Arabidopsis thaliana: one gene and its partners. The protein of the gene in region 1 interacts with the protein of each later gene in a pairwise test. Each region holds a gene or a part of one and is shown in the gene's direction. Other genes may lie near its edges.

What was found.
Region 2: the proteins of AT3G51470 (region 1) and FLC interact in a two-hybrid assay, tested with the Arabidopsis thaliana proteins (one large-scale study listed by BioGRID).
Region 3: the proteins of AT3G51470 (region 1) and URO interact in a two-hybrid assay, tested with the Arabidopsis thaliana proteins (one large-scale study listed by BioGRID).

The regions. Positions count from the first base shown.
Region 1 is NC_003074.8:19,095,464-19,104,870, reverse strand, and holds AT3G51470 (Protein phosphatase 2C family protein), read left to right. Parts: upstream 1-5,595; 5' UTR 5,596-5,626; coding exon 5,627-5,773; exon of another isoform or gene 5,774-5,922; coding exon of another isoform or gene 5,923-5,937; coding exon 5,938-6,114; intron 6,115-6,185; coding exon 6,186-6,947; 3' UTR 6,948-7,149; downstream 7,150-9,407. Other genes in the region: GLR3.6 (glutamate receptor 3.6), read right to left, coding at 190-609, 763-1,169, 1,259-1,290, 1,382-1,659, 1,758-3,073, 3,357-3,615; RHD4 (Phosphoinositide phosphatase family protein), read right to left, coding at 7,729-7,865, 7,947-8,013, 8,107-8,199, 8,342-8,435, 8,559-8,631, 8,724-8,832, 8,915-9,014, 9,112-9,210 and 1 more.
Region 2 is NC_003076.8:3,170,122-3,183,256, reverse strand, and holds FLC (K-box region and MADS-box transcription factor family protein), read left to right. Parts: upstream 1-3,808; 5' UTR 3,809-3,917; coding exon 3,918-4,102; exon of another isoform or gene 4,103-4,173; intron 4,174-4,208; exon of another isoform or gene 4,209-4,272; intron 4,273-4,360; exon of another isoform or gene 4,361-4,373; intron 4,374-7,595; coding exon 7,596-7,653; intron 7,654-7,831; coding exon 7,832-7,893; intron 7,894-7,983; coding exon 7,984-8,083; intron 8,084-8,161; coding exon 8,162-8,203; intron 8,204-8,397; coding exon 8,398-8,439; intron 8,440-9,149; coding exon of another isoform or gene 9,150-9,221; intron 9,222-9,259; exon of another isoform or gene 9,260-9,365; coding exon of another isoform or gene 9,366-9,380; exon of another isoform or gene 9,381-9,431; coding exon 9,432-9,533; 3' UTR 9,534-9,875; downstream 9,876-13,135. Other genes in the region: AT5G10150 (UPSTREAM OF FLC protein (DUF966)), read left to right, coding at 1-62, 164-887, 964-1,081; AT5G10130 (Pollen Ole e 1 allergen and extensin family protein), read left to right, coding at 10,829-10,985, 11,369-11,706; AT5G10120 (Ethylene insensitive 3 family protein), read right to left, coding at 12,110-13,135. UniProt on the Arabidopsis thaliana protein: Putative transcription factor that seems to play a central role in the regulation of flowering time in the late-flowering phenotype by interacting with 'FRIGIDA', the autonomous and the vernalization flowering pathways.
Region 3 is NC_003074.8:8,246,808-8,255,591, forward strand, and holds URO (C2H2 and C2HC zinc fingers superfamily protein), read left to right. Parts: upstream 1-3,711; 5' UTR 3,712-3,771; coding exon 3,772-4,290; 3' UTR 4,291-4,676; downstream 4,677-8,784. Other genes in the region: AT3G23145 (ATP binding / aminoacyl-tRNA ligase/ nucleotide binding protein), read left to right, coding at 5,331-5,393, 5,552-5,650, 5,834-6,019, 6,146-6,209, 6,325-6,389; ETR2 (Signal transduction histidine kinase, hybrid-type, ethylene sensor), read left to right, coding at 8,349-8,784.

The DNA.
Region 1 (9,407 bases):
GCAAATTGGGAGTTCTTCACATTTGTAACCATGAGATGAGATCTAGACATTAACCAAATTTTTATTTTTTTGTTGTACAAGTCAAATCACCAGGAGATTAAATACAAACAGTGTAACAACAAAGAGGGATATGTACATACTAGAGCCATTATGAGGTCTCTTTGGTGCAACTAATTTGCTGGAAATACTTTAGTTGCAGCGACTTGAACCATTTGCAGAGATATCTTCAAGCTGCCTTTCCCTAGAGGACCTAGCCTTGGCGTCTTCTTCTTTCTCTTTTACAAAGGAGAGAAAGGAGTGGATACGCGCGGATGGTGAGCTTCTTCTCCTGATCGACCCTTCTGCTTCTTCAGGGCATTGCTGTCCAAACTGACGTATCATCAACACTGTATACACTGCAAGAGCAAGAACACATGCCACTCCACACACCACAAATAATCCCCAAAAGCTCTTAAGCTCCAGCCTATCCACTTCTATCTCTGCGCCTTGCAGAGAGCAAGCTTTTCTAAGCAACCATTTGTCCCGAATTCTCTGCATATCTCCATTTTCTGATAGCTGCAAAATTGCAGCGGAGACGTCCACAGCCAATGGCGAGTTACGCGGAAATGCCTGAACAGTGGGAGAGAAAAAATACATATCATAAATCACTATCGCATTATCAAATTCTAAAAAGTTATGCATGGAAGAACTTCCTGATGTTTCTTCCTTAATTATCTATCATCAAACAAGTAGGGAGTTGTTTATATTCAGAACAATACTCACAAATCCCCATCCGTTTTTCGTGAACTCTTGACCAACTATGCCGAACTCACATCTGTTTGAGAGGAAAAGCTCTATGTAAGCACGTTCATCAACAACAGCCGCAACACCACCTTTCCCAGGACCATCTCTCAAGGCCTTATCATATTCCTCTGGAGACCGGAGAGGGACAAGTCTTGACACATGGATATTGAGTTCGTGGATCAGATAGTCTCTGACAAAGGAGCCTTGTGGATACCCAATAGGATCATGGTTTGTTTGCAAAGTTTCTATGCCTTTAATTGGTGAAGACAGCTGATGAACTGTGAGGATTGACGTGAGGCTTGCGGTATAACTAGAGTTAATTATGAGAACTACGAATAGCCATATTATCAGCACTATTCTTCCTAGGTTGCTGGTGGTAGTCTCTCCTGTATAAATTCAGCAGAGAAAATTGGAAACCAATTTAAAAATGGAAAACAACTTAAGATAGAATAGGGGGTGTGGGCAGTACACTTACTATGAGAGAAGAAAAGAGTTGAAAAGCTAAACCTGCAAGACAAGTAAACAACGACATATTTCAGAGAAAAAATTGTAGTGTTTGGAATTACGTTCATCCAGTTGGAGCTTATTATGTTTTCACCAGAAAGTAGTGATCACTTGTCTACGAGGAGGGCCTCGAAACTCGTCATTGTGTTTGTGCTCAAGACACCAAATGACAGCACCGACTATGAGGAAAGACGCAGCTGCAATAAGCCACATCTGGGGTGTGAACGGCCTCAAGAACGCCATAGCACTGGAGCCCAACTTCCGAACAGGAGCCACCACCACTAGCCCTGACTCCACATACGGCTGAGTAAAATCTGCCATTTTGGTTCTCTCTGTTATGATGGTGATATCACCAACACCTGCATCATAGACCTGTGAAAAAGATTTTTGAGCCACAAAATATGTCAAATACACACCCACCAACAGAGCCATCAACAGAACAGGTTCTAAAAGAGTGCTTATGTACTCACCCCAGTCGTTATCAAGCGCACAAGCTCAGAGTTACTTGGGTTGTCATGACCATTCCCAAAAGCTACAAGCTCAAATGGGACTGCGTAAGGTAATAAGTTAATAGCGGCAATGAAGACATCCACACAGAAGCCAGTGATCATCCCATTGCTTTTAACTGAGACTACCTCTTCGAACCTGTAACGATTTGGAACTCCAATCCTCAAATGCCTTCCATTGTTCGAGAACACCCAGCCACGTGGTATTTTTATTGAATGTCCTGGCCAGACAACACTATGAAGCTTCTGTCCCGAAAAAGATGTGTTCTCCATCTCGTCAGCCGGCATCACAGACAAGCCTGAATGATTAAACCAGTAACCAATAGTCGTGTAACCAGTGCCAATGACATTAAGCACATCAAATGCTGGATTTACAAGGTTTCTGTCACTAGTAAACTTCATCCTACCGGTTAAGCCAATTCTATCAACCTGTAAGATGCTCTCAAGAAATATCTTTCCTCCATCAAAGACTTTCAGAGCATCAAGGTGCAAGTTTCCACCCCCAAGCTCAGATATAATCGGATTCTTCGAAAAGGAAACGTTTCCACCTTTTTTGAAGAAATCATCAATCGCCTGAGCAAGCAGCCAGACAGTGTCATAAGCATACAGTGCATAAGTGCTAAGTCCAACATGAGTTAAGTTATGCCACCTTTGAACGAAGTTCTGCTTCATGATAGAGTTGGGAGTGTGCAGGCGCAGTGTAATGACCCCTTGAATGTTATTTATGGTGTCCAATGGGAGAGGAGAGTCTGTGTCTATAATTGTAGAAAGCCAGTTGGTAGCAATCCACACATAACCAGTGCTCATCATACCAAGATTCCGAGCCACATTGAACAACTCTAGGCCCCAGATGAAAGAAGCGTGAACGACGATAATCCTTGACTCACTCAAAGCTACCTTAATCAGCAAATCGGTGATATTCTCTCTGGTAGGTGCGGGGGGCAAAGCTGCTTTGTATGAGATTCTGCAGCGCTTCTCTGATAACCTGTCTCCCAAGGCAGCTACCCCATTTCGGCCATAATCATCATCGCCGTATATTGCTACCACCTCTCTCCAACCATAGAATTGAACAATATCTGCTATGGCGGCCATCTGAAAGAGATCATTTTGTGAAGTTCTGATGAAGAAAGGGAACTGCAGAGGAGACATAGTAGGGTCTGTGGCAGAGAAGGATAGTATAGGAATTTTTAGTTCTGTTGCAACATGAGCTACTACACGGGCGGTCGTAGATCTCTGAGGGCCAATTATGGCCACTGTCTCAGATTCCATGAACTGCAGAGCTTTTAATATGATACATAAAACAATCAGTCAGTTAACCGGATACCAGAATATGGACATGAGTATACTTGCATGTTGCAGTATCATAACCTAAAGTAGATAGCAGAACAATCCAAGACATGAAAATGAATCAGCGAGCATAAAAAGTTGATTCAAAGGTAAAGAAGACCAGAGGAGTAGAGACCTTTCGAATAATCCGTGAGCAAAACATAAAAAGGAAATGATTGAACCTCGACAGACAAACACATAATAATCATCCAATAATCACAGAGTTGTCTCACTTACGTTCCATGATGCTCATGAATCCATTGTATTTGGTGTCATGCATGATGATCCTAAGTGTAGTGGTGTTAAGAATGCTGGGGCTAGCATTGACGTCTTCAACAGCAGCATCCATAGCAACTTTGATGACTTTACCAATGAGAGAATTAAATGTGAAAACCGAACCGATGTTCACAACTTGGGGTCTCGCAGAGACAATTTTGGTGAGTCCTTGTAAAGGAACAGCATTGCAGATGATGAGCATAAGCAGAAACCACTTCATCTTCTCAATTTCAGGAGATTCCTGTTTCACAAAGTAAAAAAGAGAGGAAGGTCAAGTCACTGAATTTAGCCACCATTACGAGCAGATATAGAATGTTTGAGGGAAGAAAGATGCTTGACCTGTCACTTTCTCTCACTAAGCATGAGGCAATGGTGGAGGAAGTAATTGAGTGCCCATTATAGTAGGTGTAAAGTGGAGATCTTCTTTATGTAATGGTACTCACAGATTCAACTCTCACTCACTCAAATCCTTCATATTTCCCCCAACCCACTTCTAATCTCATATGATTACTTCCACATCACAGTGAGAAGCTCCTTCAAATACTAAACATACCACTCAGATGAAAAATCTCAGCTTTCACGCAATCAAGTTAGTGCGCAAAAAGAAACTCTCAAGTGAACACCTTTTTTGGCTTTCTATACCCTAAAAAGTGATAATTGGCTAAATGTAGAAAGAAAGAAACCCAGATTCACAAAATCAAAGCTTTTCCATAGAGACCGAGATAAAAAAAAGTGTATACCTTAAGGGTTTTGGAAATTGATTCAAAGGTTGATCAAAAAGCCAGACACAACCTTCATATTTCGTTCAAGCTTTTGTCTACTGTATAATATGTACAAGCGTGAGGACTGAGGAAGATGAAAGTGACAAAAAGAAGAAGAGAAACTAATAAAATATTAAACTTTAAATATTCATTAATCGAAATGATTTACTATTTTACAAACAGAGTTTTGATCAACAAAGAGGTATACTTATTATTGAGTTATGCTAACAGAGGGATCATCAAAACAAGTTCTAAAAGAGTGCTTATGTACTCACCCCAGTCCTTATCAAGCGCACTAGCTCAGAGTTGCTTGGATTGTCATGACCACTCCCAAAAGCTAAAAGCTCAAACGGGACTGCATAAGGTAATAAGTTGAGAGCAGCAATGAAAACATCAACACAGAAGCCAGAGATCATCCCGTTGCTTTTGACTGAGACAACCTCTTCGGAACGATTTGGAACTCCACTCCTCAAATGCCTTCCATTGTTCAAATTCTGTCATGGCCAGACAACACTATGAAGCTTCTGTCCCGAAAAGGATGTGTTCTCCAGCTCGTCAGTCGGCGTCACAGACAAGCCTAAATTATTATACCAGTAACCAATGGTCCTGTAACCAGTGCCAATGACATTAAGCAAATCAAAAGCTGGATTTACAAGGTTCCTGTCTCTAGTAAACTTTATCCTAGCGGTTAAGCCGATTCTGTCAACCTGTAAGATGCTCTCAAAATCATCAATGGCGTAAGCAAGCAGCCATACAGTGTCATAAGCATACAGTCCATAACTCGTTCACAGATTCAACTCTCACTCACTCATATCCTTGTGTCTCAGTGGAACCATCAATTCATATCTCCCCAACTTACTATCAATCTCATATGATTACTTCCACATCAAAATCAGAAGCTCCTTCAAATACCAAAAAGACCACTCAGATGATAGATACTTGAAAAAAAACTCAGCTTTTACACAATCGAGTTAGTGCGCATAAACAAACATCTCAAGTCAACACTTTTTTTGCTATCTAATACCCCTACAAATGCGAGCTTTTGCAATTGTTTAATGGCTAATTGTAGCACTATAGAGACCGAAATTCACAAAAATGTTGTCATTTTCTGTAAAGTAGATAGCAACAAACAAACCAACAAAAATCGGAGCAGAAATGAAAAAATGTACCATTAGGGTTCTCTAAGTAAAATGATACAAAGACTCCGACGACACCACCAAAAAGAAATGGGTTTGCTTGAGAGTAAAACCCAGACACAATCTTCATCTTTCGCTAATGGGAAACTAATAAAAGATTTAATTCTCTTTTATATTCAAACTAAAAAAAAAATATGGAGATTGGAAGCACACGTGGCATCCAGAGAGCTGATTGGTGAGTAAAATAAGGAGGAAGAAGAAGAAAGAAGCTATTTTTATAATTTAAAAGAGATGACTCTGACAAAAAAAGAAAGCTTTTGATCGGAATCTGGAAATGGCACCGGTGACTGAAGTTTCTCCGATGATCAACACATTGGAAGTCGCAGATGACAAAATGACGAATCTCAGTTCCTCTGGGAAACCTCCAAGAAACATCTCTGCAATGCGCCATTGCAACAGCACTGCCTGGTTGACCGATTACGTTGGTTCATCTCTTCTTTGCTTTTTTTTTTTTTTAAATTCAAATGCTTGTGATTGTAATTGCACGGTCACGAACAGATAAGATAATGTAGCTTAGATCGGATCTCGTGACTCAAAAACAATCCAAAGTTTGAAACTTACAATGTGAAAATGATTTGTTTGCAGGAAGGAGATGAGAGATTTGGTGCAAAATCTCCGGAAGGAGTAAATTCAACATTCCAGCCTGTGTTTAGATCTGGAAGTTGGTCTGATAAAGGACCAAAACAATCAATGGAAGATGAATTCATTTGTGTTGATGATCTCACTGAGTATATTGGATCATCCACTGGAGCTTTCTATGGGGTATATAAGATTTGCTTCATCGAATATTTCAAAAAAGTTCTCTTTTTTAAAATGATTGTTTGTTTATGAAGGTGTTTGATGGACACGGAGGTGTTGATGCTGCATCATTCACAAAAAAGAACATTATGAAGCTTGTAATGGAAGACAAACATTTCCCAACCAGCACAAAGAAGGCAACAAGGAGTGCTTTTGTGAAGACTGATCATGCTTTGGCTGATGCTTCTTCTCTTGATAGATCCTCTGGCACTACTGCACTCACTGCTCTCATTTTGGACAAGACTATGTTGATTGCAAACGCTGGTGACTCCAGAGCGGTGCTTGGGAAACGAGGCAGAGCCATTGAGTTATCAAAGGACCACAAACCTAACTGTACTTCCGAGCGGCTACGTATTGAGAAGCTTGGAGGTGTGATCTACGATGGTTACCTTAACGGGCAGCTATCTGTGGCTCGAGCCTTAGGAGATTGGCACATTAAGGGAACTAAAGGTTCACTCTGCCCGCTCAGCTGCGAGCCTGAGCTGGAAGAGATTGTGCTGACGGAAGAGGATGAGTATCTTATAATGGGCTGTGATGGACTCTGGGATGTGATGAGTAGCCAGTGTGCAGTGACGATGGTGAGGAGGGAGCTGATGCAGCATAATGATCCTGAGAGATGCTCTCAAGCTTTGGTTAAGGAGGCTCTTCAACGAAACAGCTGTGACAATCTTACTGTAGTGGTTGTCTGTTTCTCGCCCGAAGCGCCTCCTCGGATTGAGATTCCCAAGTCGCATAAGAGGAGGAGCATCTCTGCAGAGGGATTGGATCTCCTCAAAGGTGTTTTGAACGAGTTGTGAAGGAACTGAGAGCAAGTTGGAAAAAGGTAAGAAGAGTTACTTTATTCTTTTTTTGTTTCCTCTTTTGATAGGAAAGTCAGAGAGATATTCAAGGTTGTGTGCTTTTTTCTCTGGTTTTTCCAAGTTTTGATTGATTCCATTTTTTGTACTGTAGATCTTAACCATATTTAAATGATTAATATTTGGTTTCATAATTTAAAAATGCCTCATTGAACTGCTTCTTGAACTTGTGAGGCCTCTTTTTGGTTTGTTTGAATCCTTACCAAATATCCAAAAAATGATCAAGCAACAATGGAGCACAATCTCTCAGAAACAACCGTAGAAAAGATTTAACAGAGGGTAGATGTGCATCTGCCACAAAATAATGGATCCTAACACTAATATAACGATTGACCATCTAGGGACTGAGCCTGAATAACAAAGATGCGCATAGGTTATGGCTAAACAACCTAGAACATGCACTTCCTTTGTCTGCCATTGGTCTATCATGCCTCATGATGAATTCTACAATGGAATCACTCAACAAGAAGTAGGGATTTAGAAAGCCATTTGTCGGACCGAGTAATCATAGAATGAACATGAAGAAAGATGTGTAACTGTATCGAGTCATTTGATGGCTGTGGGAGTATTAAATCATGAGGGATCCAAACCTGAGACAATTGCCTCTAGATGGTGTCACAAGGTCCAATTTTGATACAATAAAATAAAACAATCGAAGGGAGAAAACTTTTGTCTCCGACTTGAGTTCCATGTCTTTAATTAATTGATCTCACGAAATGAATCAGCCTCTGGGCTTGTGCAGACGAGGTCGGTTACAGAAGATCCTGCCATTGGCCCTCACCAGTGCAGCCATGCCCACGCAAATTCCCGTCCACAACAATGAGAAGAACAAGTGCTTATGCTTATAATCACTCCCAGCTGCTCAGCAAATTTTACACAGTTTCAGATTAAGTTTGAAAGAAAATCTTAACTATCCAGCAAAAGAAATACCATACTTACTTTGTTTTAGAGACATTGTTGCAAACCAGAAACTCATCAGAACCACGAACAATGCCACTGGGAAGTTCTGAGACATGAAATTTACATTGTTATAAGACTAGAATTCTTTGTATGCTAATATAGTGGAAATTAGTTCTAATCTTAATTGATAAATGCTTACGGCTACAGCCTCAAGGCCTCCCTTTTGAGGTACAGGAGCCATGTCTCGGCTCACAGCAACTATGTAGTGCCCTTGCAAGAGATCAATTGCATCCTATTGCACATAGCCATATTAACTTGCGTCAGGACACATTCCAGTTACAGGGGTAAGTGACACCAAAAGTAGTCGCACACAGTTGCAACTGAACATTATTAGATGATACAACTAGAGTTACTGAGAATGAAAATTCACTGACCTGCTTAGTTCCATCAGCAAAGTTATTCAGGTAATAGCGTCTGAGGGAGCTCCAACCATCTTTAAGGACACCATGGGCAGTCCGATGCCCATACCTACAATTGAGCCGGTTAGAGACGCATTAGATTGCAATGTAGAGTAATCTACAAAACACTCCCTTATATTGCTTTATAGCCAGGACTTATTCAGACCCAAGATTAAACATATGGCAAAAGTACCTAACGAAATCTCCTTTAAGTGCAGGAGTACCAGAGTACTGAATGCTGATTTCATCACCATGATTAGCCCATACTGAAAGGCGAAAGCACATAAGCAACATGAATAAATTCGGAATTTTACATCTAAGTTCTACAATAGATTTCCTACAAAGGTAAGAGACTGACATATTTTATAGTGTTCGTCAAAATTCAGATGTGAGCTTATGGTTTCTTCAGCGCCAAAAACTCCAATCCTTTTGAGTTGAACTTCTAACATCTTTCGACCTATCATGCTCTGCATTTGGCAGGAAGTATGCAGCATGGATGAGCAAAGGCCAATATGATATTAGCTGCATCATAGTTTTCTTATGGCTAACCTGGGTAACATTTGTACGGTCTAAGCAATCTATGCAGTTTGATCGGACAACACCAAGCTGCTCCTTCATTTTCTCACCCTTTTCATTCAACAGAAAGTACCTGCGTATTTCAGAGAATGCAAAATGACGTGCCATTTTTTATTTATAATTATTCAGATTTCAAGATTACATAAATAGAAATGTACAAAGAATCATACCCATTCTTTTCGAGAAAACCCTCGATCTGCTCGTACAGAATTGATAAGCGCTCAAAATGAATATGCCCACAAATTTGATGGAAATCAAAGTGCAGGTACCTACAGGATAAGGAACCTCCTTTAATGAGTTGCAAAACAATAAGCAAGTTGTCTAAGAAACACATTAGACGAACAGATTGACTACCTTATATCATCCCCAGTAATGTGTTGCATAACAGTAGCATACTTCTCGCATAAGCGCCCCTCACCGCCTTGCTGATTAGAGAAATTAAGGAATAAAAAGTTGGAGTAGATTT
Region 2 (13,135 bases), on another chromosome or scaffold:
GAATGATGTGATTTACCCTTCTGACTGTGCTGAATATGTCTTGAAAGGATCTGAAATCACCGGTAAGCTGTTAAAAATCGGAAACTCATACAAATTGAAATTTGTGATTTTGCAGAATTTGAGTTTAAAATTTTATGTTCTTGTTTGCTAAACATTTTTGTAGACAAATTTCAAGAAGTACATGTGAACAGACCATTGTCTGGTTCTATTCAAGAAGCTCCAAAAAGTCGACTTCTCAGGTCAAAACTCAAGCCTCAAAACCGAACGGCGTCGTTTGACGACGCAGAGCTCTACGTCGGAGAAGAGGAAGAGGAAGAAGATGGAGAGTACGAGCTTTACGAAGAGAAAACGAGTTACACATCTTCCACGACGCCTCAATCTCGCTGTTCTCGAGGCGTATCGACGGAGACAATGGAATCCACCGAACAAAAACCGAACTTGACCAAGACAGAGCAAGATTTGCAAGTACGTTCTGACTCGTCCGATTTGACTCGTTCCAACCCGGTGGTGAAGCCACGTCGACACGAAGTTTCGACGCGGGTCGAGGACGGAGATCCGGTGGAACCCGGATCGGGTCGTGGGTCGATGTGGCTGCAGATGATCTCTTGCGGTCACATCGCCACCAAGTACTACGCACCGAGTGTGATGAATCCGAGACAAAAAGAAGAGAACCTTCGAAAAGGAGTTTTGTGCAAGAACATTGTCAAGAAGACTGTCGTAGATGACGAGCGTGAGATGATAAGGTTCATGTCGGAGAATCCAAGGTTCGGGAATCCTCAGGCGGAGGAGAAAGAGTATTTCAGCGGAAGCATCGTTGAGTCGGTGAGTCAGGAACGAGTCACGGCTGAACCATCGCTAAGACGATCCAACTCGTTCAACGAGGAAAGGTTAGTACACCGAGTCAGCTCTAATCGACAAGTATGGTTACAAAAATTCACACTAAATCCTTAAATATTTGAACAGATCAAAGATTGTTGAGATGGCTAAGGAAACGAAGAAGAAAGAAGAAAGATCGATGGCGAAGGTGAAATGCATACCAAGAACGTGTTTAATGTCATCATCGAAGCAAATCAAGAAATAAAAAAAGAGAGTTTAATACTATAGAGTAAACGAATGATTATGGACTAGTATTTTATTAGTATTTACTGCTACAGATAGATGCAGTAAATGATAATGAATTTTAACGACTACATGTTGTTTTTTTATTATGGGGAATATATTTGCTCCACTTTATCTGACTAGTTGTTTAAAGAGAATGGAAATGGCAAAATCCGTATTCGTGTTGCAAAATCGTAAATTCAATCTAATCTTATGGGAATCCACTAGAGTGATAATATCTTTGTCGTTTCTGAAAGTTAAAATCTTGAAAATATGATATCAGAATTAAACATTGATACTGTATATAAATTAAAACTTGAAAACATAGAGATGCCTTGAAGAAAAGTGTTTTTTTTTTTTTTTTTGCCTTGAAGAAATGATAATTGACATATCCAGAAAAGGGCAAGGAGGTGGTGGGATGATTGGATATAAATCATGCCGTACATTCACCCAATCGATTCGAAGTACTTTTCGCATTAAGTTTTTTTTAAAATAAAAATTCGATATTTTTATTATCTGCCACACAATTAATAGTAAAGTTTTTATATTGACACCATACCAAAAGAAAGTTTTTTTATATTGACAAATCATGGTCTAGGGAACGTTCCATAGGGTTATCAAACATTTTCCCATCGTTTGAAAGTCCATGAAAATCATTTGGTCAGTACTCAATTTTTGTGGTAATATATATATATATATATATATAAATATAATGTTCTTTACTTTTGTTTAACTATTGATCTGATTTGCAAGAAATAAAATTTGCATATGCAATAGCGAGCAGTGGCGGATCCAAGAAATAATTTCATATGGAGCACAGTTAAAAAAAAAACAATAAAATGATAATAGTAAGGCTTGAACTTGGATTGATGTGGGGCACTATTAAGTAAAAAGCCACTGTACTACTTACATTTTAACTACAAAATGTTAACTTATATAATATTTATTGAATTCAGTATAGGGCACATGCCCTACCCATGACTAACGTGAGTCCGCCCCTGATAGCGAGTAAGAAACGAGCAAAGGAATGCAAATTATGTGAATACTATACACCAACAGTGTAGACATGTAGCTACAATGCGGCAATGTTAAAAATAAACTCAAATTGGTTTGGAGGGAACAACCTAATGCTTATAAGTACACTTTTGTGGTAAATACAATCCAATTGAAAGTCTTTGTAGGTTTGGTTTGGTCCAATGAAATTGTATGCGAGTTGAGTAAAATAACCTTAGTTCAAAACATTAGATATGTAATGGTCTAGATACGATGGTAGCCAAAGATTTGGGTTAAATTTAGAATAAAGATCAAAGAACAAATGACTGACTTCCTTATGTGTGTTTGTTTATGTAAAGTCTTAACTCGTGTCTTGCCAAATTAATAAAAAGGTGCATTATACAATGAACTAGAGCTTGTTCTCATCAAAAATTTTAACATTAATATAAGTTATTAAAATTTTGTTGATTATATATGATTTCAATATTAAATTATATTTTTTGCTTATAGCATCAAAACTTCTTGGCACAGCTCCGAGTGTTACTGAAATGTTTGTGTGGCTCCAATAGAAAAGTTAATACCAATCATGAATCATCAATATCGTTACAAAATCAGTAATCAGTTTCACCCACTCCGAGTGTTAGTGAAATGTTTGTGTGGCTCCATTAAAAAAGTTAATACCAATCACCAATATCGTTACAAAATTTGTAATCAGTTTCACCCACTTCTTTTCGTCTTGTTACTCGATATAGCCTCACCTTTCAAGTGTCTAATATAACATTTTTTAACAAAATATTACAAAACAAGAAAAATTATAGTAATTAGATTAATCATATGTAATCTATTACATATAGTAATTTGTATTAGTATCGTTTATTGTGTTACCATTCAAACGGTATAATCTATATAATTATTAGCAAAACAAAATATAGTTTTAGTAATTAATAAAATTAATATAATGATAGTGATATTCAGAATGTGGTATCTAATCATGTAAAAATATATAATAATAAAATTAGATAAAGAAGAAATTGGTAAAAAATAATTAATGAGATATAAAAGGAAAACAAGCTGATACAAGCATTTCACCAAAAAAAAAACAAGCTGATACAAGCAAAAAAGAATTAGTAACTTTGAGCTATTGCCATATGTGTGGACATTTAAGATTTCTTGTATTTTAGAAATCTTATATATTTCCACAATATATTTACTACTTTCCTTTATTATTTGTGTTAATCTCCCGAACATTATTATTTCAATACTATCTGAAAAACACATTTTTTTTTATAAAATTTGATGACGTAGGCGAGTGGTTCTTTGTTTTTACTATGTAGGCACGACTTTGGTAACACCTACTAATTAACTGCCAAATTTTAAGTTTTGAGAAGTCGGAAGAGTTCAAACCAGTTTTAGGTTTCGATATGTCTACATAGTTCAAAGATGATGTAGAGTGGAGGTTCTTTCTGCAATAGTTCAATCCGTATCGTAGGGGAGGAAAGATAGTTTTCATTTAGCAACGAAAGTGAAAACTAAGGCAATGCAAAAGTAGCAAAGACGCTCGTCATGCGGTACACGTGGCAATCTTGTCTTCAAAACACAACGTTTTTATTCACATATTTGGTTTTTTTGCATCACTCTCGTTTACCCCCAAAAAAAAAAAAATATCTGGCCCGACGAAGAAAAAGTAGATAGGCACAAAAAATAGAAAGAAATAAAGCGAGAAAAGGAAAAAAAAAAATAGAAAGAGAAAACGCTTAGTATCTCCGGCGACTTGAACCCAAACCTGAGGATCAAATTAGGGCACAAAGCCCTCTCGGAGAGAAGCCATGGGAAGAAAAAAACTAGAAATCAAGCGAATTGAGAACAAAAGTAGCCGACAAGTCACCTTCTCCAAACGTCGCAACGGTCTCATCGAGAAAGCTCGTCAGCTTTCTGTTCTCTGTGACGCATCCGTCGCTCTTCTCGTCGTCTCCGCCTCCGGCAAGCTCTACAGCTTCTCCTCCGGCGATAAGTACGCCTTTTCCTTACCTGGGTTTTCATTTGTTCCCCCTTTTATCTTCTGTTTTGTGCTCTTTTACTTTTCTGAGAAAATAAAAATAAAAAAACAATTAATATACCGTTTGGTTTTTTTCCGGCGGATCTCTTGTTGTTTCTCGGTTCTGTGTTTGTTTGTGTTTTTTTCTGCGACCATGATAGATACATGAGATAACCAAATTTAAGGAAGAACAATGTCGTGAAGAAGCTTTTTAGCTTCTTACTTTTGTTCATTTCTCTCTCTATTTCTTAAAAAAAAAAATTCTGCATGGATTTCATTATTTCCTTGGAAAAAAATTGCATGTCATTCACGATTTGTTTGATACGATCTGATGCGTGCTCGATGTTGTTGAGTGAAGTTTCAAGCCATCTTTGATTGTTTCTTACCTTTAGAGATTCCTTAAGTTTTTGAAGAGTTAATTATATATCACAAGACTAATGATTAATGTCTCTTTTCAGAGTGATTAAAATTCATTGGATCTCTCGGATTTGTATGCAATGCACTTACGGGAGATCTATAGAGTTGCTATGGGGTTAATGCTGAACAATGTATATATACCACATTGTGCAGCTATTGACTATATAAGACTATTGTTAATCTTCTATGAATTCCTATCTTTGCTGTGGACCTATTACTTGGTGATTATCCAAATTAGTGTTTTTAATTGATTCATATTTTTCATACACAGTAGTTTTGAATTTTGGTAGCTTCAAAAAACTCAGCCTCACAATTAGTACTTACCGCACATATGCTACTTCAGTAACATAATCTGGTTATCGATTGCGATTCTTTGAATCACAATCGTCGTGTGCTATATATATAACACCTTTTGCTGTACATAAACTGGTCTAATTTTAGACTAATTAAATTTCATTGTTCTCTTGGATTTGTATATGCACGTCCGGGAGATTTATAAATAAAATTAGTATGAGGTTAATGGTAAAAAGGATCAAGAAGTTTGGTTTTAAATGTAAGCCACATTAATTGGGAAACTATGACTAAAAGATGAATTGGTAATATATACATAATATTTTTAACGAATTTCTCTCCTTTTTATGGGATATGCTATTTAAAGATTGTCCAAAGGTTTATAGTTTCCCACTCTTGCAGTTACACACATAGATTTGCCTCATATTTATGTGATTGTATATCAATTATCGCCCTTAATCTTATCATCGTTGTGTTCATTTATGACTTTGTTCCTATTCGTTAAAATTGACAATCCACAACCTCAATCTTTTGTTGTGAAAATCGACAATCACACAACCTTTGTATCTTGTGTCTTTTGTCACACAACCTTTGTATCTTGTGTCTTTTGTCATGGAAATTGTCATTCACACAGCCTTGTTTCTTTGGTGCCTCTAGGAAATTGAAAATCCCACAACACTTGTCTTCATGTAAGAAATACCAACCTCTTTGGTACGGATCTATAATGAATCAATATAATCCTATATATAAGTTGTCAAAATTGAATCTGGTGTAGTGTCTACTACAACCCTCCAATATAATAACCAAATGGTTGTAGTAGTTTGGCCATGTTGGTCAAGATCGCTGGCCGATTCTCACTTGATGCATACTTTGTTAGGATTTGTTCACCCCTAGTTAGGTCCAGCCTTGGAATTGTCGAGACACCTGACTAGAACTCCTGGTCTTAATTATGATTTAATAAAGAAGAAGCCTTTTAGAACGTGGAACCCTTAGTTACTCAGTTACTCTTTTTGCATACTTAGGTTGATGCAAAGAGCTTAACTTCACAATAGGACTGATATCTATTAACAAAACAAATTAAGTGAAGTTTTGTCAAAATTGTTGGATCTTCTAGGTCAATATGTAGTTTAGTTTTTATCTGTCTTAGTCGCTTCCTTCTATGGAAGATATATTTATAGATATGTGTGATAAGTTTCCTACTAATATTAGTTAGTGTAACTTCAAGGGCAGAAAACTCTTTACTTTTATTGCTTGATTAATTTGGGGTTTAAATATAGGAAATTGGAACCTCACAGTTTCTATAAACGAGTAAGTAATTGAATGTGAAATAACAAAATGGAAGACCGGCTTCCTATTCTTAGGAGTCTTTTGATATTTGCAAAAAAAACATATACAATAGAAATATGAGTTTTGTCTAAGACTCGGTCCATGTATTTGGAGTTTGGCTTCCTCATACTTATGGTTATCTGGTTACCGCCACATCATCATTATCATCTTATGGGTCATCAATACTAGCTCTATCGCTGGAAAAAACCTTGTCCTCAAGGTTCATTGAAAAATCCGAAAAGTTTTCTCGTATATGTTGATATGGTATTACTTACAAACAAAGAGCTGATGTTACCAATTTTGACACGAGATTACTAATGAACTCATGAAAGAGGCGTTTTTAAAAAATTCTTTTTAAAACTGGGATACAAAAAGAAAAGAGGTAACTAATAATTTGATACCATTGTTCGTAGTCCTGATCAAATGTTATAAGGGTAAACATGATAGAAAATAGAGGGTAAATAGGTTTTGTTCTTATAATGGTTTTGATAACACGCTTTGTAAAGGATATAGGTGTTTTTTGATGCTAAAAGTTGTGGTATGGATCAAAACCAAAATGGAAGCTCTGAATCTCTGATAGAGGTTGCAATTAGAATTATATAAGTTAATTTGCAAATGAATTGGAAGCAGTCTTCCACTATTTGCTATTGTTAGGGAAGTCTTTCAGTTAATTTCAGAAAATTAAGAGAAATATGACTTTCTAGACTCAGTCTGTGTACTTGGAATTTTACTTCGGTTTACTTCCATGTCATCACATTGTGGCTCATCAATATATGTGTGTATATACATTCATGAGTATATATGATTTCTGGAAAAATAAAAATTGCTTGTTTGCATTTAAGATTGGGGCTGCGTTTACATTTTATATTGCATCAATTATTTCAACATAGATTCACAAACATAAATGCATAGAAACAATCTGGACAGTAGAGGCTTATGTTTAGGGTTCTTATGTACCTTAACTAGTTTGACTTTAAGTTAATCAAAGCCAGCGCTATCACTAAACTTTATCTGTATGCCTTTGTATGACTTTTCTTTGAGGGAAAATGTCATTTTCAATCTGCCGAAATATATAATAAATACATGTTAGCCCACATAATTCATTGGATAACTAATCTTTGAGCAATTTTTGGTAAATGTTTTGGTTCTTTTCTTTTCTTGAGAGAGAAAAAAAATATCAGATATTATTAAATATTGCTTACAAAGCTAAGAACAAGTTAAAACTTTTTTGAAAAAGTGGAAATTCAGATGTGCTACTGCTTAAACATGAATATTAAGATTATTGTTTTTCTGAAATGTTACGAATACTAGCGTGTTATATATATGTAAAAGGTAAGGTGTTCTCTCAATGTTTCATAGTTTCCAGTGGCCTTTTCAAGGGTTAGCTAGTAGTTTTGATCCTAACATATTTTTATTTTTTTTGTCATCTCTCCAGCCTGGTCAAGATCCTTGATCGATATGGGAAACAGCATGCTGATGATCTTAAAGCCTTGGTAATACAAACATTTTGAATCTTTTCCCTGATGGAGTTTTATAAGGCGTAAATTTACTATTAGTTTGCCGAGTGATCCTAAATATAAAATGAGGTGGTGGCTCCACATGCATTATGCATACCGCAATTTTCATAGCCCTTGTCTTTTACCGCTTCTTCTGTCCCTTTTTCATGGGCAGGATCATCAGTCAAAAGCTCTGAACTATGGTTCACACTATGAGCTACTTGAACTTGTGGATAGGTTAGTACTACTAACTAAGACTATATTTGCTCTCCACCTTTGATTACAAAGGAATTAGTTTTTTTTTTGTCAAACTATGAATATATGCAGCAAGCTTGTGGGATCAAATGTCAAAAATGTGAGTATCGATGCTCTTGTTCAACTGGAGGAACACCTTGAGACTGCCCTCTCCGTGACTAGAGCCAAGAAGGTAAGTTGATTTCGTAATGTCTACTCCTTTCTGAATTTTGTTTGCTGAGAACAACCGTGCTGCTTTTGTTTGTTGCAGACCGAACTCATGTTGAAGCTTGTTGAGAATCTTAAAGAAAAGGTCAGATATTTGCTACCAATTTTATTGTACATCAGATATATCCTCTTCTGTGTTGTCTCTGTTACTTTAAGTCTGCTTAACGAGCTTGCACACATATTTGCAACTTTCTTCATATGTTTTGGATTCCAAATTCTGAAGTTGTTAGGTTTAGAAACTTGATCGGTAATTGCTGAACATTTTGATCTTTAAATCAGGAGAAAATGCTGAAAGAAGAGAACCAGGTTTTGGCTAGCCAGGTAACGAAAGCTACATTTCCTAAAAATATATATGCATAACTAATAAGCACTGCGTGTTGTGTGTCCAATGTCCATGTACATGGACATAGATACACACTCTTATGCTTGCAGATATATATATATATATATATAGTCAGTGCATTTCAATCATTCACTAGTTAGCACTTTCCTGTCTTGTATAGTTGTATTCTAGACAATTCTTCTCAAGATTAGGGCATTTTGGTTGTTGGTAGTTTGGTTTATTAGGGTTAGTGAGATTATTACTGAATAAGAACAGAATTTTGATAACGGCTGGTTAGAGTTAAGGGAAATCAGATGAAGTTATTTTTTTATTTTTTATCGAGTATAAATTACATGATTGCTATATCATTTTACTAAATTAAGAAAAAAAAATTCCGGTTGTTGGACATAACTAGGTTTTGGTTCTTCTTCTTCGTTTTTTTCATGTTAAAGTGTTTAATTAGGTTTTGGTTCATTTGGAGATTTATGAACCTTTTATAGTCTGGTTAAGTCTGGGTTTGGTAGAGATTCAATAAGATTTCTTGATTCTCTTTCAGGTTATGGTCTGGTTCAGTCTAGTTTAGTTCAATATTGGTTTCCTTGAAGGTTGTGTAAACGTTGTCTATATTTAAGTTAATCACCTTTTAACCAAAAAAAAAAGTTTATGGACCGATTAGTTTTTTTTTTTTTGTTTTTTTTGTTATGGTTAGGTTTGGATCCGAGTGGCTCAGTTCCAACTCCAAGTGTCTAGAAGTAGTGCTACTTTTACATGCTATATATAGGTTAGATTATAAATTATAAACTGGTAAAAGATTATAGATACTGCTTCCAAACTTAAAAGCTTAAACATAAAGAACACACAAATTATGAGAAACATAACCTTCTGTAGTGTTTTTTAATGGTTGTTATTTGGTGGTGTGAAAAAGATATTCCTTGGATAGAAGACAAAAAGAGAAAGTGAATAGTGATTTTGACCTATGATTATCGTACAGATGGAGAATAATCATCATGTGGGAGCAGAAGCTGAGATGGAGATGTCACCTGCTGGACAAATCTCCGACAATCTTCCGGTGACTCTCCCACTACTTAATTAGCCACCTTAAATCGGCGGTTGAAATCAAAATCCAAAACATATATAATTATGAAGAAAAAAAAAATAAGATATGTAATTATTCCGCTGATAAGGGCGAGCGTTTGTATATCTTAATACTCTCTCTTTGGCCAAGAGACTTTGTGTGTGATACTTAAGTAGACGGAACTAAGTCAATACTATCTGTTTTAAGACAAAAGGTTGATGAACTTTGTACCTTATTCGTGTGAGAATTGCATCGAGATCTTGAGTGTATGTGTTCTTCACTTCTGTCAAAAACTTGTGTTTGCTTCACAGTGAAGAAGCCTACGGCTTATTTTGCAACAGGGACGTGGCTCTCTCTCTCTCTCTGCGCGTTTTTTCTCTCGTCGTAATTAATTTGTTTTTATCCTAAACGCGTATGGTTGGCATGGGTTTTTTGGGCCTATGTCGGTCACATTCGGCCCAATAAGCTTAGTTCTTAAAGTCATTGCTGTTAACGTGACCGACCTCTTCCATATTTTCTTTGGACTAAATTCACTTCCGTAGTTCCGTCATCCATGAAGGATCCCTTAAACTAATCCACATTTATATAATGATAACACTTCTTTTTTTCCCACTAAAATGATAATACTTTTAGACATTATATGTATAAATATAATTCACATATAGAATAGAAAAAGTTACGCTCGTATTTATATTAATTTAGATCAACAGTTCCAGACGCCATTGTCATTAATCACCTTTTAACATTTCTGATTTAAATTAAATCATAGTCTATATACTCTGATTCAGCCTACAAGATGATAAATAGAGAATCGTCAGTGTTAAAATGCACTCTTACGTAACGAGGAAACATAAGCACGTTCTGGTCGGACCGAAGCTAACCAGCAATTTCATCACTCTATTTCACATTCTAGTTAATCCACAAAATTTTGATATACAAAATTATAATATTATTCATTGTATAATTTAAAAGTGAAAGGTTTGTTAAATATAGTAGTAGAATTACAATTTAATTACCAACATAAAGTCAAATGCCGAATAAAGCATTCGAAATAAAATTGTAAAGTCCGATGGAGACGTAGACTAGAAATAACAAGTACCATACGAGTTGACTTGTGTAGAAGGCAACACAAACTTTCTCGCCGAGTACGGCGGAGGAGCAGCCGCAAGTGGATCCAGCCGACACTAAGGAAGCTTTTAATTTGCACAAGATGCGATACACTTACACCTGACCCTTCAATTTCCTACTTATATAATACATAGTTTCAGTTTTCACATAATACACAAAACCCTTTCACTAATAACAATCTCCAAATGGCTAAATCATTTGTACCTCTCATCGCTGTGTTATGCGTTTTGGTTCTCCCACTTGCAGCCATGGCGGTTGGAACGCCATTCCACATTGAAGGAAGTGTTTACTGCGACACTTGCCGCTTTGGATTCGAGACAATCGCCACCCAATATATCCGCGGTCCGTATTTACACTTTACCTAGTTAGTATTCTCATATATATATTTCACATTGTACCATTGTAATTCATTGGATCTGATTGGTTACATGTAAATAGCATAATAGTATACAGTACTTGCAAATTTTATCTTCACAAGTAAATAAAAAATCACCCATTAGGTAAATTTTCAATTAAATCAACTTTACCTCTAAATCTTCAATTGTTTGTTTGAGTTCAAAATAATTTGTTATTGTTTTATTTTTCATTTTACAAATTATTTAATTAAGGAAATCCAAAAGTCTATATTTAGAAATGTAATTATTTATCAAAAAAAAAAAATGCATGCGAAAACAAAAGCAGCAATTTTAAGACTGAAATAATTTTGAGGGTTATATGAAAAACAGGGGCAAGAGTGAGAATAGTATGCAAAGACAGAGTGACACTAAAATCGGAGTTGGTTGGGGTGGCGGTGACGGGACCTGATGGGAAATACAAAGTCGCCGTCAGAGGAGACCGACAGGACCAGCAATGTCTGGCGGAGCTTGTTCACAGTCCACTGTCCCGCTGCCAAGAGGCTGATCCTGGCAGAAGCACCGCTACCGTGATCCTCACGCGCTCCAACGGAGCCGCCTCTACTCGTCACTACGCCAACGCCATGGGTTTCTTCAGGGACGAACCGCTCCGTGGCTGCGCCGCTCTCCGCAAACGCTACCTCGCAGACGGCGATAACCGGGCTATTTGAGTCATCTTATGTTCTTGATGAAACAGAACACAAAAGTTTATTTAGAGTTTTTATTTATTTCTATTTTATTGTATTGTTGAGTCTCTAAAGATGGTGAGACTATTTAGACATATCTAAGATAAACCATATAAAATAAAGTATTTGCAACCTTCAAAAAAAAAAATCTCATGTCCTTGGCAAGAAAGAGGAATTTGTTGTATGTTCTGTTACTTATGTAGGATCATCATTTGATATGCTGCGTATAATTACGATAGTTCTTCAATATTTTATATTTTAGTTATCTTATTATTACGAGATCTAAAAGTTATTTTATTGTGTTGTATAGTAACTAGAGAAGTACAGACAGAAATGTTCTGACTTTGGGTACATGTAAAGCATAGCAACTAATTAACGAGCTTAACTATTAATCGAACATGTATATGTCTTTGTCCTCGCAACCCATGTCCCAAACTGAAAAAGCACTCCGGTTCACGTTGTCCGATCGATCAGATTTTGTAAGTTGGTTCAAATTCACGTTGTCCGATCGATCAGATTCTGTGAGTTGGTCAAAGTCCGTTCCAGTACCCTCATCATCTTCGAATCTCCTAGAGCAATGAAACTCCTGCTGCATCTTTTCTAACCAGAAATATTCCATCCAATTCCCATTAATGCTATGATCATCATCATCTCGCTTGTCCAGTGCACGCGAGCTCACATTGTAATAATCATCTTCACTAGTCGAATTAGTAACAATACTTGGAACCGTTTCAAGCAAGGAAGATGTATATTCACCGCTCTGGCTCGGTTCTTGGTTCGACCCATAAAGACACTGGATCTCATGACCCGTCCTCGAGTTCTTGTCCCCGAATCCAAAACTCACATCACTTTTAGGACAACTCGAGTTTTGGCAAGTGTAAACACTCTTAGACGGTTCCATAGACTCACTTTTTCTCTTAGACCCCGACGATTCTTGATCGTCCTGATCTTCCGAGATCTTGAGGTCTTTGATATTGAGAAGAGCTTCTTCTTGGTTTAAGACACGAGACCAAGTATCAGTCTCTTTAGCCATCATTTTATCTTGCAAACTTTTAGATTGTCTCGCCAGACGTCTCACTCTTCCCAAATTCGGCGACATGTGTTTAATCACAGCCGCGAGAACACTAACTTTCCAAGATTTTCTCAAATCGTGCGGCTTTCGATATGGCGGTGCACCGTGCTCATGTGCCGCTCCTTGTTCTCCCCACCAAAGCTCCGTCCCCGTCGGCCACCATGGCGGAGCAATTCCTTTCTCTAACGGAAACCGCCGCTGTGGCGGCATGCAATGTTGCATTAACGCTGATAGTAACGACCCTAGTGTCGTGTCTTGCAGTTCCTGTAACATGTGTAATAAGCTCGAGGATGATGAGGACTTATCGATTAGCTCTGCTGCAGCAGCAGCAGCCGCGAGTGC
Region 3 (8,784 bases), about 11 Mb from region 1:
TTAAATTGGGCTTCGAAGCCCAGCTATACTCTTTTCGCATAGCCACTTTAGGAACAATTCATTTATTTCATTTTTTTGACTTTAGGAAACAATTCATTTAATTATAACTTCTACATTTTTTTATTTTATTTTTGTCAACACGAACTTCTACATTTATTTACAGAAAGAAGAGAAACCAAGTCCCATGCCCAATTATTCCTACCGAGACTTTTAGTTAAATTACAAGCAAACAGAATACATATCATTGAATGTGTAAGTGTGAAAATGGACGAAAATAGGTATAGCCAGAGACATTTATATGCATTCATGAATTTGTTAGTATTTCTTACTGTTTCGATTGCATGTGACTTCTTTAATTTTGAAGATTATCATTATCTCCAACACTACATAGAGCATTTCTATATATGCATACACTATTCTTTCAGTTTATTACTATTAATGTTGTATATCACCCGCAAGTCCAAACACACATATAAATATTGAAACTGTTGGTGGATATTTTTTCCGTATGATTCTTTTATCAAGCTTAATTACATCAATTAAATAGTATCACAAGTATAAATGGTACAAGTTTAAATTACTTATAAGCAAATGACACAAAATAAATAATTAAACATCAATTATAATAAGTGATGTATAAATTAACATGTTTAGCGTCACTTCAATCAAATTGATAGAAATTTGTATTAGTTTGCATCATTTTAACAAATTGATACAAAAATCTGTATTTACACCAATTAAATAACCGATGTATTCACTTAATTTTATTAACATCAGTTTATAAAAATGATATAAAATTATACATCAATAAGAAGTGATGCTAATAAGTTTTTCTGTATTTTAATTTAAACAAAAAACTAACTTGAATTTATTGTAGATGACGAGAAATTGTTATTACCATAAATAAATAATCATATTGGGTTAATAATTTATTATTAATTTCTATATTTTCCCTCAAAATCAGCTAACTAAATATATTTGTTTCCTTCACTATAAATCCTGCTTTCACGCTCACGATCTTTTCTTACAGTTTTGTATCCAAAAACGTTTTTAGAATATCTTCAAATTAGTTTTTGAAATCTCATAACTCTCATTCAATTCTTCATCTTCAACGACAAGTACTTTCTTATTTTTCTATCATTCTATCTTTCTCTTTTTCTTAACCATTGCTCAGTTTTTTTCTTTTCTTTTATTTTCAGAAATCTGCCATTGATCATTAGGACTGTTTGTTTTCCTACACAGTTTGGAGAAACACAAAGTAAAGGTACTCTATCACTTTCTTTTAAAAATACTTACAAATGGTTATTCTTATTCCGACCAAAACAATTCTATAAATTTTCAAACAATTAATCTCTTTTTTATTTTGTACAGCAGAAACTCAAGTGTGATGAGGATTCAAGGGATATAAGTTATAACCAAAGTATGATTTTGATTCTGTAAATGGAAGAGAGATGGCATAGAAGAAGAACTGGTATTTTTCAAGAAGAACCAACAGTTAATGGAAGGAAGAAGCATGGAACAGAAGAAAGATGTGTTTAAACATGAAGAAACCAAAACCAAATTATGATTATTTTTTTGCTTATCTTATATAAAGATTTATTGTTCATGTAAAATATTTTATAAAATCTTGATAAAATTTTAGTAGATATTCCAACGAGTAATTATCCACAATGATCTGTTATTTTTTAAAAAAAGAAATAAATAAAATAATTATTCAAAATATTAATAACATTATATTAATAATTATATATATATTATTTAAATCAATTATTTAAACCGAAACAAATACTAACATCACTTAAATAAATTGATGTAAACATTACATCATTTTTAGTAACTGATACAATATTGATATCAATTACAATAATCGATGTAATTATTTTGATTATTTACATCGGTTACTAATTAACCGATGCAAATTATTTGCATCAACAATATTTAAGTCACTTATTTAAATGATACAAAATTCTTTTACATCACTTTTAACTAATGCAAATATTTATAATAAATGATGTAAAACAACCTTTTTTTTGTAGTGTCTCCAACACTACATAGAGCATTTCTATATATGCATACACTATTCTTTCAGTTTATTACTATTAATGTTGTATATCACCCGCAAGTCCAAACACACATATAAATATTGAAACTGTTGGTGGATATTTTTTCCGTATGATTCTTTTATCAAGCTTAATTATATAGACCTTACCTTGACCGAGTTTGTTTCTTATCCACATGCCAATTTAGAATATTTGTTCGTGCGGGTTTTATGAAACAAATGTTATTGATGAAAGAAATAAATGTAGCTTTAGGAGGCTAAAGTCTACGATGAGCTGTAGTCCCAAAGTTCTTTTTCGTCTGTTATAAATTCACTAGTGAATATTCTTAAGTCAGTAGGATTCTCACATGTTCTCGAAATCCTATAAAACATTAATGCTCCTGATCAGCTTATAGAAAACGAATGACAATAGTTCTTTATCTAAATCCATAAAACATAATGGTATACTTGTTTTACTATATATTATCTGCATGATCTCACTAAAAAGAGACTACGCCAAAAGGAAGTCAGCCTACATAATAACAAATCTATTCAACTTCCATAATATCATTTTTCTTGAGGCTATAATTATTTTCCATTGCATATATAGAGAGTTTTGATCCATCGTGATTCGTTAAACGTTCTATTATATCCTAAAAAACGATATGGCAATAGCTAAAACCGAACTTATAAAACGCGGTTTCAATCGGTCCATAGAAGTTAAAGGGTACCGGTGTGAACGAAGTAAGTTTATGGAGGTGAATATTATTTTGTCGGTTCTGAAATTGAATACAGTAAAATATTAATTTTAGCAATCCTAAGAGTAGCAGGCGATCGCTCATCGATCGTATTTTTTTCTAAGTTTTATTTTGTTTTTGTTAAAGCATATTTTTCTAAGTATAGAAACCATCGAAATCAATTTCAGTTTTGGGGAGAACTCATAATAAATTTCATAAATGCTATTTAATTAATGAGAGCAATTTGTATATTCTTAATTGTTTTACCTACTTTAAGCACAACCACAAGTCCACAACTCCTTAGTGAATGCTTCTTTTAAAAAATTTGGTTTTATTATTTTGTAGGTATTACATGTTCACATTCAAAATATATTTCACACTATATTAGATTAAATTTAACTAAGCTTTAATATTTCACTAGCTCCTACTAGCCTTCCAATTTTTACAATTTTACTTTGCAATTTTTACTCTCGATCCAAACAAATAAGTACTTTTTTGTACTATATTCAAAGATGAACAACTTTATATTTTTCTTGAACAAAAATGAAATTGAATAGAGAGAAACTAGCTACCCTAACTAGTCACTCGAAACCTTATAAATAACACCTTCTGTAGTTTGTTTTCCTATGAAGAATATTTTTCAACTTTATCTATTATATTATCCTTTGTTAAACTTTCCCTGAAAATTGTTAGAAAATAAACTAATTAAAATAATTCTAAGCATGACGTTTTTGTAGTTATTAATTCATGTTACATTAGACGCACGAATTTAATTATAATACACACCCCCGTAATTAAGTACATTAAAGACCCTAAAGTATATATATTAACCATTGATAAAACAATTTAGCCCTAATTAGTGTCCGTTCACACACATAATCTTTCCTTTAGCTTATATATACGCTGGTGTGTGTTTTTAAGAAGCTTCATACACTCATTTTCAAAACATTGAATACTGAGACTTGAGAGAGATCCCAACAGAAGAAGAAGAGAGAGATGAACCACCGGGACAAACAAATTGATTCCGGCTCTGGCTCTGGAGAAAACCGCCGGACTTATGACTGCGACATCTGCAAGAGAGGTTTCACGAATCCTCAAGCCCTCGGTGGTCACAATAACATCCACCGCAGGGAACGCGAAAGATACCCCTCCTCCTCTTCTTCTTCTCACTCATTTCCATTTTCTCTTCCGTTACCATCTCAGTCTCCCTCCTCCTCCACAAACTTCACAAACCCTCCTCCTTATTTTCCGACCATTGAGTCATACCTACACCAAGGGTCTCAGCCACCTATTAACCCTAGCCACAACACACAATACTTTGGATCATCATCATCATCAAGAGGAGGAGGGAGATTTGCTCAAGGGGCGTCTCATGATCTTAATTTGAGCTTAGGGCTCGGATCCATGAATGAAGATGATGACACTCACCGGAGCCCACCAGAGACCGGAGGTTCTCAACCTCAAGATGGTGATCTTGATCTTGATCTTCGACTCGGCGGTCATCGTCATCATTAAGCTTGCAGCGGTTTCCCTCACGTTCGATCCACGTAACCATATACAATATATATATATAGTTGAAAGTTAATCACCGTATAGTGCATGATGTTTATTGTGGTGTTTATATATGTTTTCAATATATATGTAGTATGATCAAAATATGTTGGACTTGGAGTCATGTTTTTATCATGATCGTATGAAGTTTGGGTTTGTATAATTCAAGACTATATTTTTCACTTAAAAATTATAGATCAAATAGGTTAATTTGAGTAATGTTTTTGTTATACCTTTTTCAAAAAGAAAAAAAAATGTTCTTGTTGTCTGAAGTTGGGTTTGTATAGTACAGGATTATTGTTCTTTTCCATAACTATATATTAGTGTAGATCTATAGATCAAGTAGTTTTGCGTAATATGTTCTAATAATTAGTTACGTTGTATGAAATTTGGGTTTGTATAATCAAAGACTATCTATCATTCTCTTGTATAATATTTTACATGAATTTACATTTCAAGTGGGTTTGTATGAATTTACATTATAAAGTAAGTTTAAACTTATATTATGAATGAATTCGAACTGCAATGGGATAAACATTATATGCGTTTTAATAATAGGTTGGTGAAGTTTATAATTTACACCATTTGAAAAGCCTTCCAAATTTAGAAACTACATTTTTGCAGACCCATGTGAGCTCATATGAATCAATCATAGCCTTGATGTTGTAAAACAAATTATGATTATAAAAATGTGATAGTATATTACATGCATAAAAAATAAAGGAGAGTAAATGAAAGTCAAATCTGGGTTTTATGAACTGAAAGTTGAAGTTTAGAAGTAGAAGTAGCGATCAAAGTATGACCAGTTAAAAGGCCCAATATCATTTGGAGGTTTGATTTTTGGGTTCGTAAATTTCAAGAGCCAGATTATGATTTGCTGGGCTTAAAAATCATGGAAAAATTGAAATGACGGTGTTAAAATATATAACTCAAATTAAAGATTTTAATTGGGTGTAGTAGGCTGATTTTTTTATAAGAATCTTGTCTATAGATGCTTCAAGGTTATGCCTTATAGTACTGGTTGTAAAACACCACTATCTAATTTTGAAGCTGGTCAGAACTATAAGGTATGTTGTTGTTGGCCTTGTTGCTAATGAAGATTATAACATTCTGTTGTTGCATTTTTTTTTTTTTTTTTGTGTTAAATATATATATTTTTTTTGCATATTTATTGTTGCATATTGTGTTGCATATTTAGTAATGGTTACATTCCCTGTTATCGGAGATCCAAGATAATACGGCTCTTGTGGCATGGACTACTACTCCATGGATTCTTCCAAGTAATCTTGCTTTGTGTGTCAATGCAAAGTTTGTCTATCTTAAGGTTCGTCAACAACACTGGAAAAGTCTACATTGTTGCTGAATCTCGGTTGTCATCGCTTCCTAGTGATAAGCCTAAGGCCGGCTTAACTAATGGAACTTACTAGTGATACCATAATGCGAAAGGTGCTAATTAAGCTTGACAGTGAAGAGGATTCTTATCAAGTTTTGGAAAATTTTAATGGAGATTCCTTGGTTGGGAAGAAGTATGAACCTTTGTTTGATTACTTTTAGCGATTTCTCAAGTGTGACTTTTCGACTAGTAGCAGATGATTATGTCATGAATGATAGTGGTACTGGTATTGTCCATTGTGCTCCTGTCTTTGGTGCAGATGACTATCGTGTTTGTCTTGAGAACGAGATAATTAAGAAGGTTAGATTTGACAACATCTTCCTTATATCACCACCTTTAACATTAAGTTTATTTTCTTTCTTGTTTAAGTTTACAGTATCTTCAAGAACCCATGTTCATGACACATTTTGTTCATGTGTTGTTTAGATTGTCAGAGATTTCAAACGTCCAGATGGTTTGAAAGATACAGAGATTGATGCAGCTGTAGATAGTACATATCTTAATTAAAAATACCACTTCTCTATGCTCTATTGTTGAGGAAACATATAATATTTGCATTCGTTCATGGTTCAGATATGATGTTATGGTAATTCTTGATCTACGAGAAGATGAATCTTTGAAAAACGAAGGTGTTGCCCGTGAGGTAAATAAATGTAACCGAAGCGATTAATGGTCATATATAAGTTGTATATTTGATATATGGGTTTCCTTCTCATTGTGCTCATGCATTGAAAAGCACCCTGTTATGACTGTGGTTCTAGGAGAACATTTGCATTTGACAGTCGGTGACTAATTGTTAAGCAAGAAGAACGCATGAGAGCCTTTTAAAGTGTTTTCTTCTAGATCGTTGCAAAAAGTTAAATGTCTCTTGAGACTTTGTACTCATTCTATAGATAAAGATGGGATTTATTACAAAAACAACAAGAAACTTTGTTACTTGTGGAAATTCAAAATTATCCGAACTAGCTTCACAAAATATGCTCAAGAGTTTCAATGTATTTTTTTTTGTTCTGTAATTGTATGACTCCGTTTGAAGCATCAAGATTATGGTTATAGGTAGTGATGCTAAAACTCTCTGTTGTTACAGTGACCACTAAAAACACCAACAAAAAAAACTTAGGTAACGTGTCGTCTAAAAACTTCTAGGTTCAATTTCTTTAGATAGTACTATCAATAAATAAAATAAATATGTACAAAGGCTTTAAACAATGATGTTTTTCAAAGATGATTGGTAGATACTAATTAGAGCTTCAATATAAAAGAACACATGCGATTCTGACATTCTGTGGTCTAACATGGTTTCTTCTAGAGTCAAAACCATACAATTAAAAGTTAGGAAAGTAATAGCAATGTGGTTTCAAATATATACTCATTACTCTTTAGATTCATGTATGGTGAAGGAAACATTATAATAAAATCAAAGATCACAGTTTTGTAGGTCCCTCATATTAATCAACATCTTAAGGCGTTATACATATCTTCTTTTTGTAAATATTTGACTAATTAAAATATCTAATTAGAGTATTAGACTAATCTCATCAAATATCCGACTACTTGTGTCAGTTCAAAACACAGTGATTACGTTAGATTTTGTGCTCTTTTGTTTATAAACAAAGCTAATTTAAGAAATATATGATCTATTTGCCTCCTTGGTCTTAATTTTATACTTTCTTGGAATAAAACACATTTATTAAAATAATTTTTAGGTTCCTAGATTCATGTCATGTGGCTTGATAGTTTCCAACAATTATACCAATATTTTACTCATTCATATACAAATAAACAAGCTTTATTCTATTCTTCAGTCTCATGATATACGGGATTTTGATAAAATTCAGAGTACCCATTAATTATTCTATGTTACAGCTTGTAATAAGTTAAATTTATAAAACGTACAAGTTGAGGAAATAACAAATGTTTTCAATATTAAATGATTTATTAATACATTAGTGACCAAAAAATTATTAAGTGTAAGAAAAAAAACACAACTCAGAAAAAATTCAAAAGACCGTCTAAGTTCGGTTCATGTAAGAACAAGTGGGACCTCTTTAAGTTTCTAAATCAGAGAATAAAGAAGAAGAAAAAATCTCAAAACCTTCCTCTAAAACCAACGGCTCCTACCTTTACTTACACCCTATACATACACTTCTCTTTTTATCCTCCATCGGCGGCTTATGGCGGTTTTCCGGCACTAATCATCTCCGGCATATATAAATAAACGTACTTCACGTTTTTTTATATAACTTCAAAGTAGTTTCAGATTTGTCTCTATCTCTTCACTTTTAAGTCTTCTGGTTTTGTCATCACCAGCTTTTTTTGTTCTGTCTCTGTCTTTCTCTTTGTGTATTTTTATTCTCGTCATCGTTGTTCTTCTATGAGAGGAAGATCGGAATGTCGAAGAGAATTAGAAGATTCTCGTACATCACTTCGTTGGAATTTCACAGGTCGATGAGAGATCTGAGAACTGTTTCATTTTGATCCAAACTCATCTCTTTCAGGTATTCCAAATTTTTCTTTCTCTGTTCTTTCTACTATTACCCAAATTAAAGTTTTGATTTTTATTTCTCACTCTGTTTCTTGTTTTTCTAATTGCAGAGTATAATGGACTAAGCATTTTTTTTCTCCGAAGATGGTTAAAGAAATAGCTTCTTGGTTATTGATACTATCAATGGTGGTGTTTGTTTCTCCGGTTTTAGCTATAAACGGCGGTGGTTATCCACGATGTAACTGCGAAGACGAAGGAAACAGTTTCTGGAGTACAGAGAACATTCTAGAAACTCAAAGAGTAAGCGATTTCTTAATCGCAGTAGCTTATTTCTCAATCCCTATTGAGTTACTTTACTTCGTGAGTTGTTCCAATGTTCCATTCAAATGGGTTCTCTTTGAGTTTATCGCCTTCATTGTTCTTTGTGGTATGACTCATCTTCTTCATGGTTGGACTTACTCTGCTCATCCATTTAGATTAATGATGGCGTTTACTGTTTTCAAGATGTTGACTGCTTTAGTCTCTTGTGCTACTGCGATTACGCTTATTACTTTGATTCCTCTGCTTTTGAAAGTTAAAG